Elephas maximus indicus: one gene and its partner. The protein of the gene in region 2 purifies or fractionates together with the protein of the main gene of each other region. This does not show direct contact. Links are inferred from orthologs where the notes say so. Each region holds a gene or a part of one and is shown on either strand. Other genes may lie near its edges.

What was found.
Region 1: the proteins of DDX23 (region 2) and TSSC4 purify together in Homo sapiens (affinity purification with mass spectrometry; 3 studies listed by BioGRID and IntAct, with this or other methods). This does not show direct contact. The link is inferred for Elephas maximus indicus from reciprocal best matches to the Homo sapiens genes DDX23 and TSSC4.

Annotation. Positions count from the first base shown.
Region 1 is NC_064825.1:135,486,109-135,493,953, reverse strand, and holds the start of TSSC4 (protein TSSC4), read left to right. Parts: upstream 1-4,720; 5' UTR 4,721-7,071; exon of another isoform or gene 7,072-7,079; intron 7,080-7,651; exon of another isoform or gene 7,652-7,845. Other genes in the region: CD81 antigen, read left to right, coding at 1,424-1,521, 2,277-2,351, 2,686-2,790, 3,194-3,295, 3,894-3,980, 4,049-4,111. UniProt on the Homo sapiens protein: Protein associated with the U5 snRNP, during its maturation and its post-splicing recycling and which is required for spliceosomal tri-snRNP complex assembly in the nucleus.
Region 2 is NC_064822.1:104,287,624-104,295,176, forward strand, and holds the start of DDX23 (probable ATP-dependent RNA helicase DDX23), read right to left. Parts: upstream 3,038-7,553; 5' UTR 2,947-3,037; intron 1-2,946. UniProt on the Homo sapiens protein: Involved in pre-mRNA splicing and its phosphorylated form (by SRPK2) is required for spliceosomal B complex formation.

The DNA of each region.
Region 1 (7,845 bases), on a different chromosome or scaffold from region 2:
GGCCTCGGTGCTCATCTGTCAGGTGGACCCTTATCAGTAGGGAGACCCCGCCCCACCCCCAGTCTCTGGGCAGCCCATAGCTCTGCACTGGCTCCCGGGCCTGGCTGGCACAGGGCATTAAGGGCGGACAGAGAAGGCCTGGACAGCAGGTCCTGGGAGGGTCTTTAGCATGCCTCCCCCCTCCCCCCGCCCAGACTCCCAGCCCTCCTTCAGGCTATGCACCTCACCTGCCTTCTGGACCCGACTCCCAGCCTGCTACGACCTCCCCCACCTGTTGGTGTGACCTCTCAGGGCCTGGACCCCACATGAATCAGCTGTAGAGGCTGGACCCCCCAGTTGGGGGTACTCAGAGCCCCTCTGGCCCAGGATCCTGCCCAGTGCCGGAGGGCCCTGCAGGGGGTGGGGAGCAGATGGGATCCCTGACAAGGGCTCTTTGTTCTCTGCTGGGAGGTGGGGCTGGCTGGCAGGGTGAGCTTGCCCCCGCCACCTTCCCCAGGGGGCAGGGCCAGACTGAATCTCAGTGTCGTCCTCGGGCTTCCGACTGGAGCCTGGGGGCTCTGGGGGGCTGTCAGTAGGATCTGCCAGTGGAGCCTCAGGAGGGGCCTTGAGTGGCCCCTTGACCAACCTGAGTCTCCCAGAGACCCTGAGGAGGGGGCCTCTAGTCCCCTGGTAGGACCCAAGAAAGCCAAGACCCCCTGGTGTGCATGGTTTCTGGCTGCCCCGGGTCACCCTGGTGAACCTCCCCTAGTGATGTGGTGGCGGGGGCCAGGGGTCTTCGCGTCACCTCACATGTGGAGCTGGTGCAGGGCCAAGGACAGGAGAGCCTGACGGAGGGGCTGAGTCTTCTCCCCTCTGCAGAGTGCCAACAGGAAATGGCCGGCCAGATTGGGGGAAGACTGAGGTGGCCCAGGGTCGGCCTTTTCTGGGCCTGGTGGTGGACAATAGACCCCGTCCCACCGAGGGTGACGTGAGCTGCTGCCAGTGTTGCTGTGACCACTGCAGACAATCCGAGCCTGTTGGGCTGATCTCGGGGGGCGGTCACTGGGGAGATGCAGTCAGCACCTCCCGGGGCAGTGAGCTGGCGTGGGGGTCAGTGGGTGGGCACTGAGGTAGGCAGGTCTTCACGTACATACTGTGGACAGGAACAAGTTCAGTCTGTCCCGTGGTGGCCTGTGTGGTCCTCAACAGGTGGCCCTGCCCCTCTCATAGAAAACAGGCAGGAGAGGACGCCCACATGCCTGGGCAGAACCAGCACCAGGTCCTCACTGCTCTGCCCATCCGCTTCCTCCCCCTTCCTGCAGGGGCCGGGGGCTGTGGGACCCCGGCATTGGAGAGTGCTGTGCACAGAAGGTCTGGGGGGGCCTGGGAGGGCATGAGGGCAGAGCAGCGAGGTGCTGTGATATAACCACCCCCCGACCCCCAGGCATCTACATCCTCATCGCTGTGGGCGCTGTGATGATGTTTGTGGGTTTCCTGGGCTGCTATGGGGCCATCCAGGAGTCACAGTGCCTGCTGGGAACGGTAAGGTGGGGTCCCTGCTGGTCCTGGGCTGGAGGGGGAGGCACCCGGGAGGAGGTGGCCCTGGTAGAGCTCAGGCACGTCCGCCCCCTCCCTCCCCTCCCCTCACCTGGTGGAGGGGCTGGCCGGCTCTGAACTTTCCAGTTGGCTCTTAGATAAACCATTATCTCTTTATCCTGATTCTAAGCCCCAAAGTGGCTCTCTCTTCCTTTGTTTAAGAAAAGCCACAAACACAACAGGGAGAGAGTCCCCGCCCTGCTCCCCTCTGGCCTGGTGGCCCCTTTCCCCTTGGCCGGGTAGGGGGTGAGGCTGGCAGTGTGCTGGGGAGCCTGTACCAGTGTCTCCGCTAGGGGAGACTGAGGCATGACGTGGCAGCCCCTCTGTGTTGGGGCTCACTAGGCACGCTTGCTCTCGTGCCCACCAGGTGGTGCGGTGGAGGGGCCTGGGGAGCACACCGCCCCCACCCACCATCAGAGCTCTGGAATCGGGGGTTGGGAGGATGCGGCTCTGGCATCTTGTTCCTGGGCTGAGTCCTAGGTTTTGCTCATGACTAGGCCTCATGGCTCACGCCGCCTGGGACACGGTGATTTGGTGATTACCCCCGCCTCCCATCCTGCTGGTCACTTGGGTGGCTGCATCTCGAAAAGGCAAACCCCATGCTGCCTGGTGGCCTGGGGCCCCAGGAAGAGCCCCCAGACTAACTTACTGCTTCCTCTGCCCACTCCCTCCTCCCATCCCGCCCTCATGCGGCCCCCCAGTTCTTCACCTGCCTGGTGATCCTGTTTGCCTGTGAAGTGGCTGCCGGCATCTGGGGCTTTGTCAACAAGGACCAGGTGAGCCAGGCCCACCAGGTGAGGTCCTCATCCCAACCTGGGGATGCTGGGGGGAGGAATGGCCCCTGTTCAGAGTGTGGGGGATGGTCCAGCCTCACCCACAGATGGCGGGTGTACCTTGGGGCTCCCCCCCGTTATGTTAGTAAGGTCCAGGAGGGCTTCCTGGAAGCAGCGACACTGGGCCTGAGCTGGGGCCAGCTAAGATAGGACCCCCCCCCCCGCCATGTATCTTGGGGACCCCGCCTTCCTAAGGTGTGTCAGGTGAGCACACTTGTCCACCTGAGGAGGTAGGCTCTGCTCTGGTGACCCCCTAGCCTGCTTGTCCTCCCTGCAGATCGCCAAGGACGTGAAGCAGTTTTACGACCAGGCCCTGCAGCAGGCCGTGCTGGACGATGAAGCCAGCAATGCCAAGGCCGTGGTGAAGACCTTCCATGAGACGGTGCGGCTGCTGGGGGTCTGAGGGGGTGGGTATGGGACCCATGGGGCTTGCAGGGCTGGGCTGTATGGGTGCACATGGGCCCCAGGAGCTCTAATCTTCCAGGGGTAGGGGCAGGGGCAGCCTGGGCGTTTTCCTCTGTGGGCCTTGGGGAGGCTGCTCCTCTCTGTCCTCTAGGTCCCTGGGTGGGAGTGGGTAAGCCAGGTCTCTGAGCAGCACACTGCAGGTGGCCATCTCGGGGCTCAGTTACCTTAGGAGGAGCAGAACAAGCCTGTGGGGTGGCCGCAGCCCGGCAGGATGCACTGTGGGGTGGGAGTGGGGACACTCTTCTGTGGCCATCCGGGCCCCTGGCCAGTGCTCCTCAAGCCCCCTGCCAGCCTGACTAAAGCTGCCCTGTTCTCTGCAGCTGAACTGCTGTGGTTCCAATACACTGACCACACTGGCCACTTCGCTGACCAAGAACAGCCTGTGTCCCTCAGGCAGCACCTTCCTCAGCAACGTCTTCAAGGTGTGCAGTGGTGGCCGGGGCTTGGGGCTTGCCATGGGGTGGAGCTGGGCAATGGTGGGCACGCATAGGGCAGGTTGTGCCCATCCTGGGGCCATGGCCAGCAGGGAGAGGACCACTCTGCCGGGGCCGGGCTTGCTGGGGTCACAGAACTGACCGAAGAGGGGCACCATCGCTTGCAGTCCAGGTGAGGTTGTCTGAGGCCCAGGGTGTCGAGTGGCCTGGTGGGATTGGTGTTTGGCTGCCCATGCTTGTGGTTGAGGCCGGAGGTGGCCCTTGGGGGCCTCAGCAACCTGTGGTAGCACTCAGCTATGCGGAAGTGATTTGAACCAAGTGTCCTTGGCCTGGGGATCTACTTTTGAAAAACCAGCCACTGAAAACCCTGTGGAGCACAGTTCCAATCTGACACACAGGTCGTCACCGTGCATCGGAGTGGATGCCACAGTAACCAGTTAAGAGCTAACCTGTGCTGAGAGTGCCGGCTGGCCAGGGTGGGCTGGGAGAGCCATGGTACCAGGTCCTCTGTGCGTTTTCTGTGTTGCCTGACTGTCACGCGAAACTTGAGGGGGACCCTGAGCCCGCCTGCTGTCTGTCCTTGCAGGAGGACTGCCACCAGAAGATCGACGACCTCTTTTCTGGGAAGCTGTACCTGATTGGTATCGCAGCCATCGTGGTCGCCGTGATCATGGTGAGCTGGGGCCTCGGGGGGTGGTGCCCAGCACCTGTGCCATGCCTCACGTCCCCTCTCCCCCGCAGATCTTCGAGATGATCCTAAGCATGGTCCTGTGCTGTGGAATCCGCAACAGCCCTGTATACTGAGGCTGGAAGCGGCCGGCCATGTGCACAGCGTCCCCGGAGGCGGCCAGCCGTGTGCACAGCGTCCCCGGTATTACTCTGTGCCGTGTACATAGCGTCCCCGGTATTGCTCTGTGCACTCAGCCTTTTCGTTTCCCAGGTCTCCTTTTTGTTCTCAAGCCCTTGCCACCTTTCCAGGGCTGGTGGCCCTCGTGGGTGACGTGGGAGTGGACCGGCGGCCTGGGGTTGCAGGGCAGGGCCCGTGAGGCTCCTCTGCTCTGAGGACCAGGGAGGGAGCCTGCCTGGCCCTGGGGCCTGACCCTGCAAGCTGAGGGGCCGCAGCCCTGCCCCACCCGTCAGCCCGCACCTTTTGTAGCCCTGACTCCCCCTCCTCTGACTGTTTCTAGAGCAGCGTTTGAGCTCTTAGCTCCACGGCAGCGCTCCTTTCTAACATGTCACCCCCAGCTGTAATTACGTCATCTCCAGTCACAACAGTCACTCAGTAAAGAAGGAAAAACCAGGCATGCTAGCACGGCTCAGACTCCCTTCCTGGGCCACACGGGGGTGGGCAGTGGGCCCGGGAGCACGCCACAGGGATGTGCCCCCTCGGTAGGCCGTAGCGCCCCTCCTTCCTTGCACCGAGCCTGGGCAGAGTGCCCCGAGTGGGGGCAGCGGGGAGATGTGGCGGAGGATGTGTGCCCCACTCCTGCGGGGCACCCTCCTCACCATTTCTGACGCCGCCCAGGCCTTGGGTTTCCGCCCATCCTGTGAGTGCCTCAGCTGTGGCCATGCCAGGCCCACTGTCTGGCTGGGCTATGAAGGGTTTGGTGGACACCAGGACTGCTGGTTCTTCCCCTTCCTTCCTTCCTTCCTTCCCGCCCATTTGGGTGCTTGTGAACCTTTGTTGGAGGAGCCAGTGGCTAGGGCAGGTCTGGTTTGGGAAGGGCTCAGCAGCCAATGGGGGAACCCAGTGAAGTGGCCCACCAGGGTGCGCTGGGACCCACCTGGATCTCTACCCTTAGTCCAAGCTCTTCTAGTCGGTGAGCATTATGCAGACCCACCTGGCTAGCCACCGCCCATCCCGGCACGGAGAGCTTTGGGATGGGACTTCTCCTCGGACAGGCTGCTTTGTCAGGGATGCTGGGCAACATCACCTGGAGTTAGGGTGGCACCCACCTGCGCACACGCTAAACTAACCCCTTGTGACAGCCCAGCAGTCTCCTTGGACTGGCTCTGGAACTCAACCCCAGCCCTGCACGGGGAGGTTAAAGGGTCTCAGAGGGCCTGCACCTTGCACACCTGGGCTGTAGGGTTCAGGTACAGGAAGGTCCATGGAGTCCATCCTCTCTGCTTCTGCTGTGCTGTGGGGCCCACAGGTACATCCGCCCAAGGCTGCAGCGCAGGGGCCTGGAGCCTGCCTTCTGCATGGCAGTGACCCACAGTGGGTTCCTGGTGAGGCTGGGGGTGGGGGGAGGTGGAGTGTTACGAGGTGACCCGAGGTTTACTGGAGACCAGGGGCTGAGGTAGGGGCCCAGCTTCCCCTCTTTGTGCTTCTGGGCTGGGCAGCTCCTTGAACCCTTGGTTTCCCAGCAGAGGCACCTCAAGAATGTGGGACAGGTGCCCCCATAGAGAAGGGGCAAAAGCACCGCCCACCTACAAGCCTGGGGGCCGAGAGAGAAGTGGCTGAGCTAGAGAACCTGGGACCTCGTCCTCCCTTACCAGGCAGGGAGGCGTGACCTGCCTTAGGCCAGTGAGAAGGACTAGGCTGTCAGCTCCCAAGCCTGCTGCTGCCCTCTGGTGCCTGCTCTTGGAGCACATACTTTCCCCGGGGCCCACCAGTCCTGGCTGACTTGGAAGTGGAGGGAGCGAAGCACTCGGTTCCCCTCCTCTCCTTGCCCAGCCCTCCCAGGCCTCATGGGCTCCGGCTCCCAGTGGGTCAGTGGCACCCAGGGCCCCCGGATGGGCGCTGACCCTGGAAGGATGTAGTCAGGGCAGAGGCAGCCTTGGCTTCCCCACCCAGGGGTGCTCCCTCCAAGCCTCCTCCTAAGCCACACCTCTCCACGACCACAGCAGTGGCCTCGGGAGACGGGGGGGCCACCATTAGTGCCTCCCCATCTCAGGTACGGCGCACACAATGGTTAGGGCACACGGGGAGGGAACAGCTGTGTCCTTGTCCCTGGGGAAACACCCTAGAGGTAAATCACAGCCCTGTCCCTGGGCAGGGCCCAGGAAGGTCCCCAGGGAGCAGGTACGAAGTGTTGCCATGGGGACTAGGGGAGAGGCTGGCGCGCCTGCAGCCCCCACGTGCGCGGAGCCCCGTTTCCAAGATGCCCCCTCAGCCCTCATAGGTCGAGACCCTGGTCTTGACCTGGGGCTGCGTGACTGCGGGGGCCCGCCTGGAGAATCTGGGGACTCCGGTGGGGCGGGGTGGGGCCGGCCGCTGGGACGCTGCAGGGGCGCCTTGGTCGGCACTGACCGACAGATGGAAGGAAAGGCAACGCATTGCTTCCGGCCAGGGCCGGAAGTGCCCGGGGAGTGGCTATGTGTCCTTGGAGCGCCAGAACCCGCTTCCGGCCTGAGGCCGCCGCAGTCCTCGGGGGTGCCGGCAGGTGGCGCTGGGCCCCGGGAACCCAGCACTGGCCGCTGGCTTTCAAGCATTCTGGGAGCTGCATCCGGGGGCCTCCCTCCCTTTTCTCCTTAGCCATTTCCGGTTTTTTTTTTTTTTTCAAATAAGCCCTGGGGCCTCCGGGCTATCATAAGCCAGCCCCTAGTGCAGGGGAGTGGCGATCTGGCTGAGACACATGCCCGCACAGGCCTACATGTCCCGGCAGGCCTCGGGAGCAGGGACCCAGTGCCTCGTGGGAGTTGTAGTTCTCTGCATGCAGAGGCGGCGGCCCCTGGCCGGCGGAGGACTCGGTTTCCCAGAGGGCCGAGCGCGGCGTCCCGGCAGGCGGCGCGACCAAGATGGAGGCATCCGGGCAACGGTGAGCTGGTAGGTTTGGGGTCGGGGAGGCCTTCGGGTGGCCGCTAGCCGCAGCCTGCATCCCGGTACCCAGCCCGACGTCTCGGTTTCCCCCGTCTTTTCGTGGCCTGGCCCTCGGGACCCCGAGCCTTCTGAGGCCTGGACCCGGGGCCCATCCCCCCGGCCCTGGCACGCGAGGATCTTTGATTGGTTCCCCGCCGCCGAGAGCTTATTGAGTGTCAGGCACAGGGCGAGGCGCTGGGCGCGTAGAGCGGTGTAAGGCCAGGCTCTGCCTTCAAGGCGGAGACAGACAAGCAGGAAGGAACCGATGCTCCCGGTCCCTGGGACCTGGTCTGCGCTGATCCGGGCCTGGGACACCCCCGCGCCTCAGCTCCGCCGGGACCCAGCTCTGCCCTCCGCTGAGCCCCTGAAGGAACCCGAGGCCTTGAGTCCAAGAAGCGACTCCCGGGCCTCCTAGTTCCCTATCGTGGGGCCCGGTCACTGTGTCCCCCACGCACCCGCTGCGTGCCCCACGGAACAGGCTGCTTAGTGACTTAAGGTGGTGCAGGGTAGAGTGCGAATTCGGAAAGCAACAGGTTCGTTGGAATTCTAGCTTCGACTTGGGCAAATTATATCCGCTCTGGCCCTGCTAGCTCTAAAACCCTCTCTCTCCTGAAGTCGTCCCTTCCCAGAGGAGCCCCGCCGCACAGAAATCGCGTCTCGCTTGCGTCTGACCCCATGGAGAGCACGCAGAGCCGCCCCTGTCTGTCGGTCCCCCTCCTCAGCGGGTGCACAA
Region 2 (7,553 bases):
GAACTAGAGGAGACTAGGGGAGGCACAGATTTAGGAGGAAATCAGAAGTATCACTGTGACTATGTTGAGAATACGATGTTAATAAGACAACCAAGTGGAGATTCCAGAAAGGTAGATGGATAAGCAAATCTGGAACTCAGGGGAGAGTTCAGGACTGGAGACAAAAATCTGAGTCTCCAAAACATAGATGATTTTTAAAGCCACGGGGCACTAAATGATAATTACTACCTAAGCAGACAATATAAATGGAGCCCTGATGGCGCAGTGGTTAAGAGCTTGGATGCTAACCAAAATGTCAGTGGTTCAAATCCACCAGCTACTCCTTGGAAACCCTTTGGAGCAGTTTTATTCCATCTCATAGGGTCGCTACGAGTCGGAATCTACTCGATGGCAACGGGTTTGGTTTTTTTTTTCTGGTTTAGGCAATATAAAGAAAATAGAAAAGGACTCAGGACTGAACTCTGGAACACTCCCACATTTACAGATCAGGCAGAGGAGGAGCCAGAGAAAAAGACTGGAAAGAAGCAGTAGCCAGTAAGAAAGGACAACAAAAAGCAACGCATGGCATCACAGAAGTCAAAAAAGTATTTCAAGGAGGGAACGGTCAACTGTGTCAACTACTACTGAGGTAGAGAAAAAAAACAGGAGATAGAGAAGTGGCCATTGCATTTGGAAAAATGAGATTGTTAGTGACCTTGACAAGAGCTGTTTTTCATTGGTATGGAGGGAAGAGAAGCCTGAGTGGTTTGAGCTGAGGAGAGAATGAGAAGTGAGAATACGAAAACAGTGAATACAGGCAACTTTTATTGTAGGTTCTACTTATCACATAGGAATCCTGGTGGCACAGTGGTTACTAAGAGCTTGGCTGCTAACCAAAAGGTCAGCAAGTCAAACCCACTAGCCATTCCAAGGGAGAAAGATGTGGCAGTCAGCTTCCGTAAAGATTTACAGCCCTGGAAACCCTATGGAGCAGTTCTACTCTGTCCTATAGGGTAGCTATGTATCGGAATCAACTCAATGGCAGTGGGATTTATCACAAGGGTCAGATAATCAGGCTGACTCTGACCAACTGCTTCCAAGTAACCTCCTATCAAACCTCTAAATCTTGGCATTCCTCAGTTCATGTAGGACAGAGGCAGATTCTTTTTTGCTTTCAATGAAGTTTTTTTTTTTTTAATAATATTATATTAAGTTTTTGGAGAAAGTTTACATAGCAGATTAGGTTCCCATTTGATCATCTCTATACAAATTCCTCAGCGACAGTAGTTACCTTTTTCACAATGTGTCAACATCCTCTTTAATTGCACCTGGTTGTTCCATTTCCAGTATTCTAGTTTCCCTGTTCCCTTATCTTCTCATCTTTGCTTTAATTGTTGATCTTCTAATTTCATACACACGGTTTTTTAATAGAGCACCATACTCACAAATAATGTCCTTTATTTTGTGTGCCAATCTGTTATTTCACTAAAAGGTGACCTCAGAGGATAGTTTCATTCAAGGTTTATAAAGGATCTCATGGTAATAGTCTCAGGGACTCCTCTAGCCTCAACTGGTCCAGTAGGACTGGACTTCTTAAAAATTTGAGTCCTGTTCTATCAGGGTTCATCTACTGTGGCCCTGATAAGAATGGTTGGTAATGGTGGCCAGGCACCATATAGTTCTTCCAGGCTCAGGGCAGATGAGGCTATGGCTCCTGCAGGCTACTAACCCTATAGATTAGTTTCTTCTCTGAGACCTTTGCTCTGGATGAGCAGAGACCAGTAGTTGGATCTTAGACCGCTGCTGGCAAGCTTTTAAGACCCCAGATGCTACTCACCTCAGTAGGATGCAGAATATGAACTTTGTGAACTATATTATGCCAACTGACTGAGTTGTCCCATGAGGCTAAGATCCTAAGCATTCAAAGTATTTGGTTACATCTGAGAAGTACCTGTAACAGTATCTTCTATGAATATGTGTGCACACACCTATCTCTATATACACATACACATAGATACTTCTATTTGTGCACATATATGTATACATCTGCACCTACCTATATACAAATGTACCTATACACCTACATATGTGATCATACACTCACTTTTTGGTTATTGTTGGTGTTGCCAAGTTACATATGTCACATTGTTTAGTATAAATATCCTTTTCTCTTGTGTGGTTCTTACTGGCATCATTTTCTTTGGTCAAGCTGTGCTCATTACACCCACATTCAGAGCTACTCTTCCCATCACCAAAAATAACAAGTATCTACAATCTAGAGAGTTATACCCGCTCAATGAAGTATTTTATCAAGCATTCCCTATATGCAAGGCACCCTAGGCACTGTGTGAGTTGCTAATGGAAATGAGGAAGACCCTGTCCACAAGTAGCTCATAGTACAACAGAAGTGAGAAGACACATATAGTGGACAGATGCCAAGATGATGGCTCAGATGAAGGAGAGTTCAAACAAGGAGTTTCCTTTCATTTGTGAGAGGGGATGTGGAAGGCTCTGTAGAGGTAGTGGCTCTTGAGTCTTAATTATAGGTAGAATTTGAAGATGTATAACTGAGGGTACGGAAAGAATGTCATTCCCAGCAAAAGAAATAATACAGGAGGTGCACAGGCAGGAAAGCATAGATTGGTTCTGGGAGAAAAGCTGGAGTTCGTTTGGCTGGAACAAGGGCTACTCGAAATATGAAGGAATAAGGTCGGATTGGGCATATCACAGGTGCTGTGTCCTTGGACGGAGGTCTGGGCCCGTAATATCGTCGACTGGCCTATGCCCCCCAGGAGCCAACACCGCCCCTGGGGCCCCGCGCCCCTTCGCCCCAGCCCACAGGACCTTCTCGGGCTCGTGTCCCTTCCCTGAGGCATTCTTTACCCCCTTGGCATGTGCCACCACCATACTCCCATTCCCGCCCTTTCTGCAAGTTCCTGGGAACCGCCTCCATCGCCCGGGACTCACCACCCTGACTCTGAACCGCCCAACGCGGCCTCAACGTCGCGAAGCAGTCGCCATCTTTCCCGTTTCCTGGTCGCGGAGGTACGCCCCCGGCCGCGCGGCAAACTGGGAAGGCGAGTTTCAGACACCGGGCAGCGAGGGCCGACAACGGGAGAATGAGAACTACCAGTCCCAGAGTGCACGGCGCGAGCGCTTGCGCCAGGCCGCGGGCCGCGGGGTCTGCTGGACAATGTGGTTCGCCAAAACTTTTGAGTAGGCTAGGGGCGGGACCCGGACGGGGCGGGGGCGGGGGCGGGGGCGGGGGGTTAGTTTTCCGACGGCTGAGTTCCCGCAAGAGGTTCTCAGCTGCGTAATCTTCCTGGAATATGATGGTCTCGTTAGAAATTGGAAATCCTGGTGGTGTAGTGGTTAAGAACTACAGCTGCTAACCAAAAGGTTGGTATGTTCAAATCCACCAGGGGCTCCTTGGAAACTCTGTGAGACAGCTCTGCTCTGTCCTGCAGGGTCCTTGTGAGTCGGAATCCACGCCACTGCAAGTTTTTGTTTTTTTTTTTTTAAATTATTAGAAACTGCAGTCATAACGACTCTCATGGCCTGTGGCTTACAGGGGAAGAATTTAAGAGTTTCATTAGATATCAACAGCAAGTACTTACAACCGTTTGTGGAGAGCCGTTTTTGCAAAAACGTGAGGTTCGAGATTATTAGCCCCGTCTTAAAGATGGACGAACTAAGGGTTAGGTTACAGGGGTAGCCTAGTATTTCACAAGAGCGGGACAGTTCTTTGTGCGAGACTATCCCACCCTTTGGAGGACTTTTTAGGCAACCCTGGTCCCTCGGGGGTAAATGCCGGTAACCTCAGCTATTGTGACAACTCAAAAAGAACCCACACATTTCAGAGTCCTCCTAGGAGGGAAGTATCCCTGGGCTGTGGTACCCGTTTTCTCAACATTCTTTCTCCACATTCCAGGTAGGACCCTCGCTTTCTCATTTCCTTGCCTTTTTGGATCTGGATCTGGGCCTTCTTGGGATTTACACTTCTTTCTTCCTCCTATTACCCCCTCTTCACTCCTCCACTGAATTCCTTAACCCCATATTATGTGCTCATTTTGTTTTTCTTTGGGCTTATGGGTTCATAATGCTTCCTCTAAAAAAAACAAAACAAACAAAACTCTTGCAACTTCTAGGATGTTTAGATACCAGGAGGTATTTAGTGCCTTCTTCCAATTTTCCCATCATCAGCTTTGTTGTCTCTATCCCGCTGGGCTGTAGTCTGGCTTTTCTCTCTGAATATGATTTCAGTTCTCTCCAAGCAAAGCCTCAGGATAGACGCAAATAATGAAATCCTAAAACCCTGAGCATCACACACAATGGCCCAAAGTAACCCTGGGATCATTGCACATTTCTGCTCTTGGAACTCTTAAGGCTTTGACCTTCTCTCCGTTTCTACCCCAGAAATAAGTGAAAGAAAAAAAGAAGCCCAAGATCTACGAGATGTGATTCACCCAGTGAACCCTAGAGGGCTCTCCACTCACAGAATGGAACCCCAACTAAATTATACCCACAGGGGTAGCCTGGAAATCTAAGAGCTGCAGCTACTGTTGAGAATCTTTTAAGTGCCGAACTCTGTGCTGCCCTAACTTATGTTACTTAGTTTACTTAGCTCTCATAGCTGTATGAGATGGGTATTATTTCCATTTTACTGATAAGGAGATTGTGGCCCAATCCAAGCCAAGCCCACTGCCGACGCGTCAATTCTGACATAGTGACCCTATAGGACAGAGTAGAGCTGCCCCATAAGGTTTCCAGGGAGCAGCTCGTGAATTCGAACTGCTGACCTTTTGGTTAGCAGCCCATCCCTTAACCACCAGGGCTCTGATCGTGGCCCAGAAAGGTTATTTAAGCCTTCACAGGCCACATAATTAAAAGAATGGAGCTAGAATTCAACCCCAGGTTTATTTGACTTCAGAGTCCATGCTCTTTCCCTGTTTCCAGACTACCATTCTTCACCATCTTTAAAGATGAGGCTATTGAGACCCAGAAAGGTGACAAAGGCTGTCCACATTAATAGTTCTCCTAGTACTTGTACACACCTCTCTCATAATACAAATAAGATCTTGAGCTTAAAGAATACTCAGTGTTGTTTGTCTTACCCTGCTGGTTCTCTCCCAAACATGCATCTTTTGAGACAGAAACAGAGGGACTGTGCCCTAGGAAGGCCATAGGCAGAGTCTCCTATTTACATATGACATGGCTAACAGTAAGGGACCCACGGCATTATAGCTAACATTGAGACCAGGTTTGAATCCTGACTGAATTATTTACTGGTACTGCGATCTTGTGCAAGTTATATGGCATTAGTTTGGTTTTTCTATTTCCTCATTTACAAACCAGGGATAATAATACCGCTTGCCTCACAGGATGAGACAGCAGAGCAATTAAGAGTATAGGTTCTGGAGAGGCTGTGGAGAGACTGCAACACTTATACACCGCTGGTGGGAATGTAAAATGGTACAACCACTTTGGAAATCAATTTGGCGCTTCCTTAAAAAGCTAGAAATAGAACTGCCATACAATCCAGCAATCCCACTCCTTGGAATATATCCTAGAGAAGTAAGAGCCTTTACATGAACAGATATATGCACACCCATGTTTATTGCAGCACTGTTTACAATAGCAAAAAGATGGAAGCAACCAAGGAGCACATCAACAGATGAATGAATAAATAAATTATGGTATATTCACACAATGGAATACTACGCATTGATAAAGAACAGTGATGAATCCGTGAAACATTTCATAACATAGAGGAATCTGGAAGGCATTATGCTGAGTGAAATTAGTCAGTTGCAAAAGGACAAATATTATATAAGACCACTATTATAAGAACTCGAGAAATAGTTTAAACAGAGAAGAAAATATTCTTTGATGGTTACGAGAGCGGGGAGGGAGCGAGGGTGGGAGAGGGGTATTCACTAATTAGGTAGTAGATAAGAACTACTTTAGGTGAAGGGAAAGACAACACACAATACGGAGAGGTCAGCATAACTGGACTAAACCAAAAGCAAAGCAGTTTCCTGAATAAACTGAATGCTTCAAAGGCCAGTGTAGCAGGGCCAGGGGTTTGGGGACCATGGTTTCAGGGGACATCTAAGTCAATTGGCATCATAAAATCCATTAAGAAAACATTCTGCATCCCACTTTGGAAAGTGGCGTCTGGGGTCTTAAACACTAGCAAGCGGCCATCTAAGATGCATCAGTGGGTCTCAACCAACCTGGATCAAAGGAGAATGAAGAACACCAAGGACACAAGGTAATTACGAGCCCAAGAGACAGAAAGGACCACATAAACCAGAGAAACCAGAGACTACATCAGCCTGAGACCAGAAGAACTAGATGGTGCCCGGCCACAACCGATGACTGCCCTGACAGGGAGCACAACAGAGAACCCCTGAGGGAGCAGGAGAGCAGTGGGATGCAGACCCCAAATTCTCATAAGAAGACTAGACTTAATGGTCTGAGACTAGAAGGACCCTGGTGGTCATGGCCCCCAGACCTTCTGTTGGCCCAGGACAGGAACCATTCCCAAAGCCATCTCTTCAGACAGGGATTGGACTGGACAACGGGTTGGAAAGGGATGCTGGTGAGGAGTGAGCTTCTTGGATCAGGTGGACACTTAAGACTATGTTGGCATCTCCTGCCTGGAGGGGAGATGAGAGGGTGGAGGGGGTTAGAAGCTGGTGAAATGGACACGAAAAGAGAGAGTGGAGGGAGGGAGCAGGCGGTCTCGTTATGGGGAGAGCAATTGGGAGTATGTAGCAAGGTGTATATAAGTTTTTGTATGAGAGACTGACTTGATTTGTAAATCTTCACTTAAAGTACAATAAAAATTAAAAAAAAAAAAAGAAAGAGTACAGGTTCTGGAGCCAGAGTGCCTGGAGTTGAATCCAGCTTCTCCCAATTTGCAGCTATGTGACTTTGGGCACGGTAACTAATCTCTTTGAACCTTGGTTTCCTTGTCTGTAAAACCAGGTAGGTAATACCTCCTAGGGTTATCATAAGGAATAAAATATAAAGAACTCTTAAGTGCCCCTGATCCACAGCAAACATTGAACAAATGTTAGCTATTATAATTTAGGTTAAATGAGAAAGTGTAGGTAAAGCCCTCAGTACAGTGCTGAGCACATAGTAAGTACTCAAAAAATAACCTAAAACCAAACCCATTACCATTGAGTCGATTCCGACTCATGGCAATCCTATAGGAGAAGGTACAACTGCCCCATAAGGTTTCCAGGGAGCAGCTGGTGGATTCGAACTGCCAACCTTTTGGTTAGCTGCCGAGCTCTTAACTGCTGTTCCACCAGGGCTCCACTCAATAAATGGTAACTTTTTATTTTTGGCACTGTACTCTGAAACTTGAGCAGCCATTAACAATGGAATCAGAAGGTCAAGAAGGCAGAGAATCAAAATATATATAAAACTTCAGTAACAACAAAAAGACAATCCAATCATCAAATGGGTAAAGGACTTGAATAGAGATTTCACCAAAGAGGGTGTTCAAATGGTCACCAAACACATGAAAAGATGCCGAAGATTGTCATTAGCCATCAGGG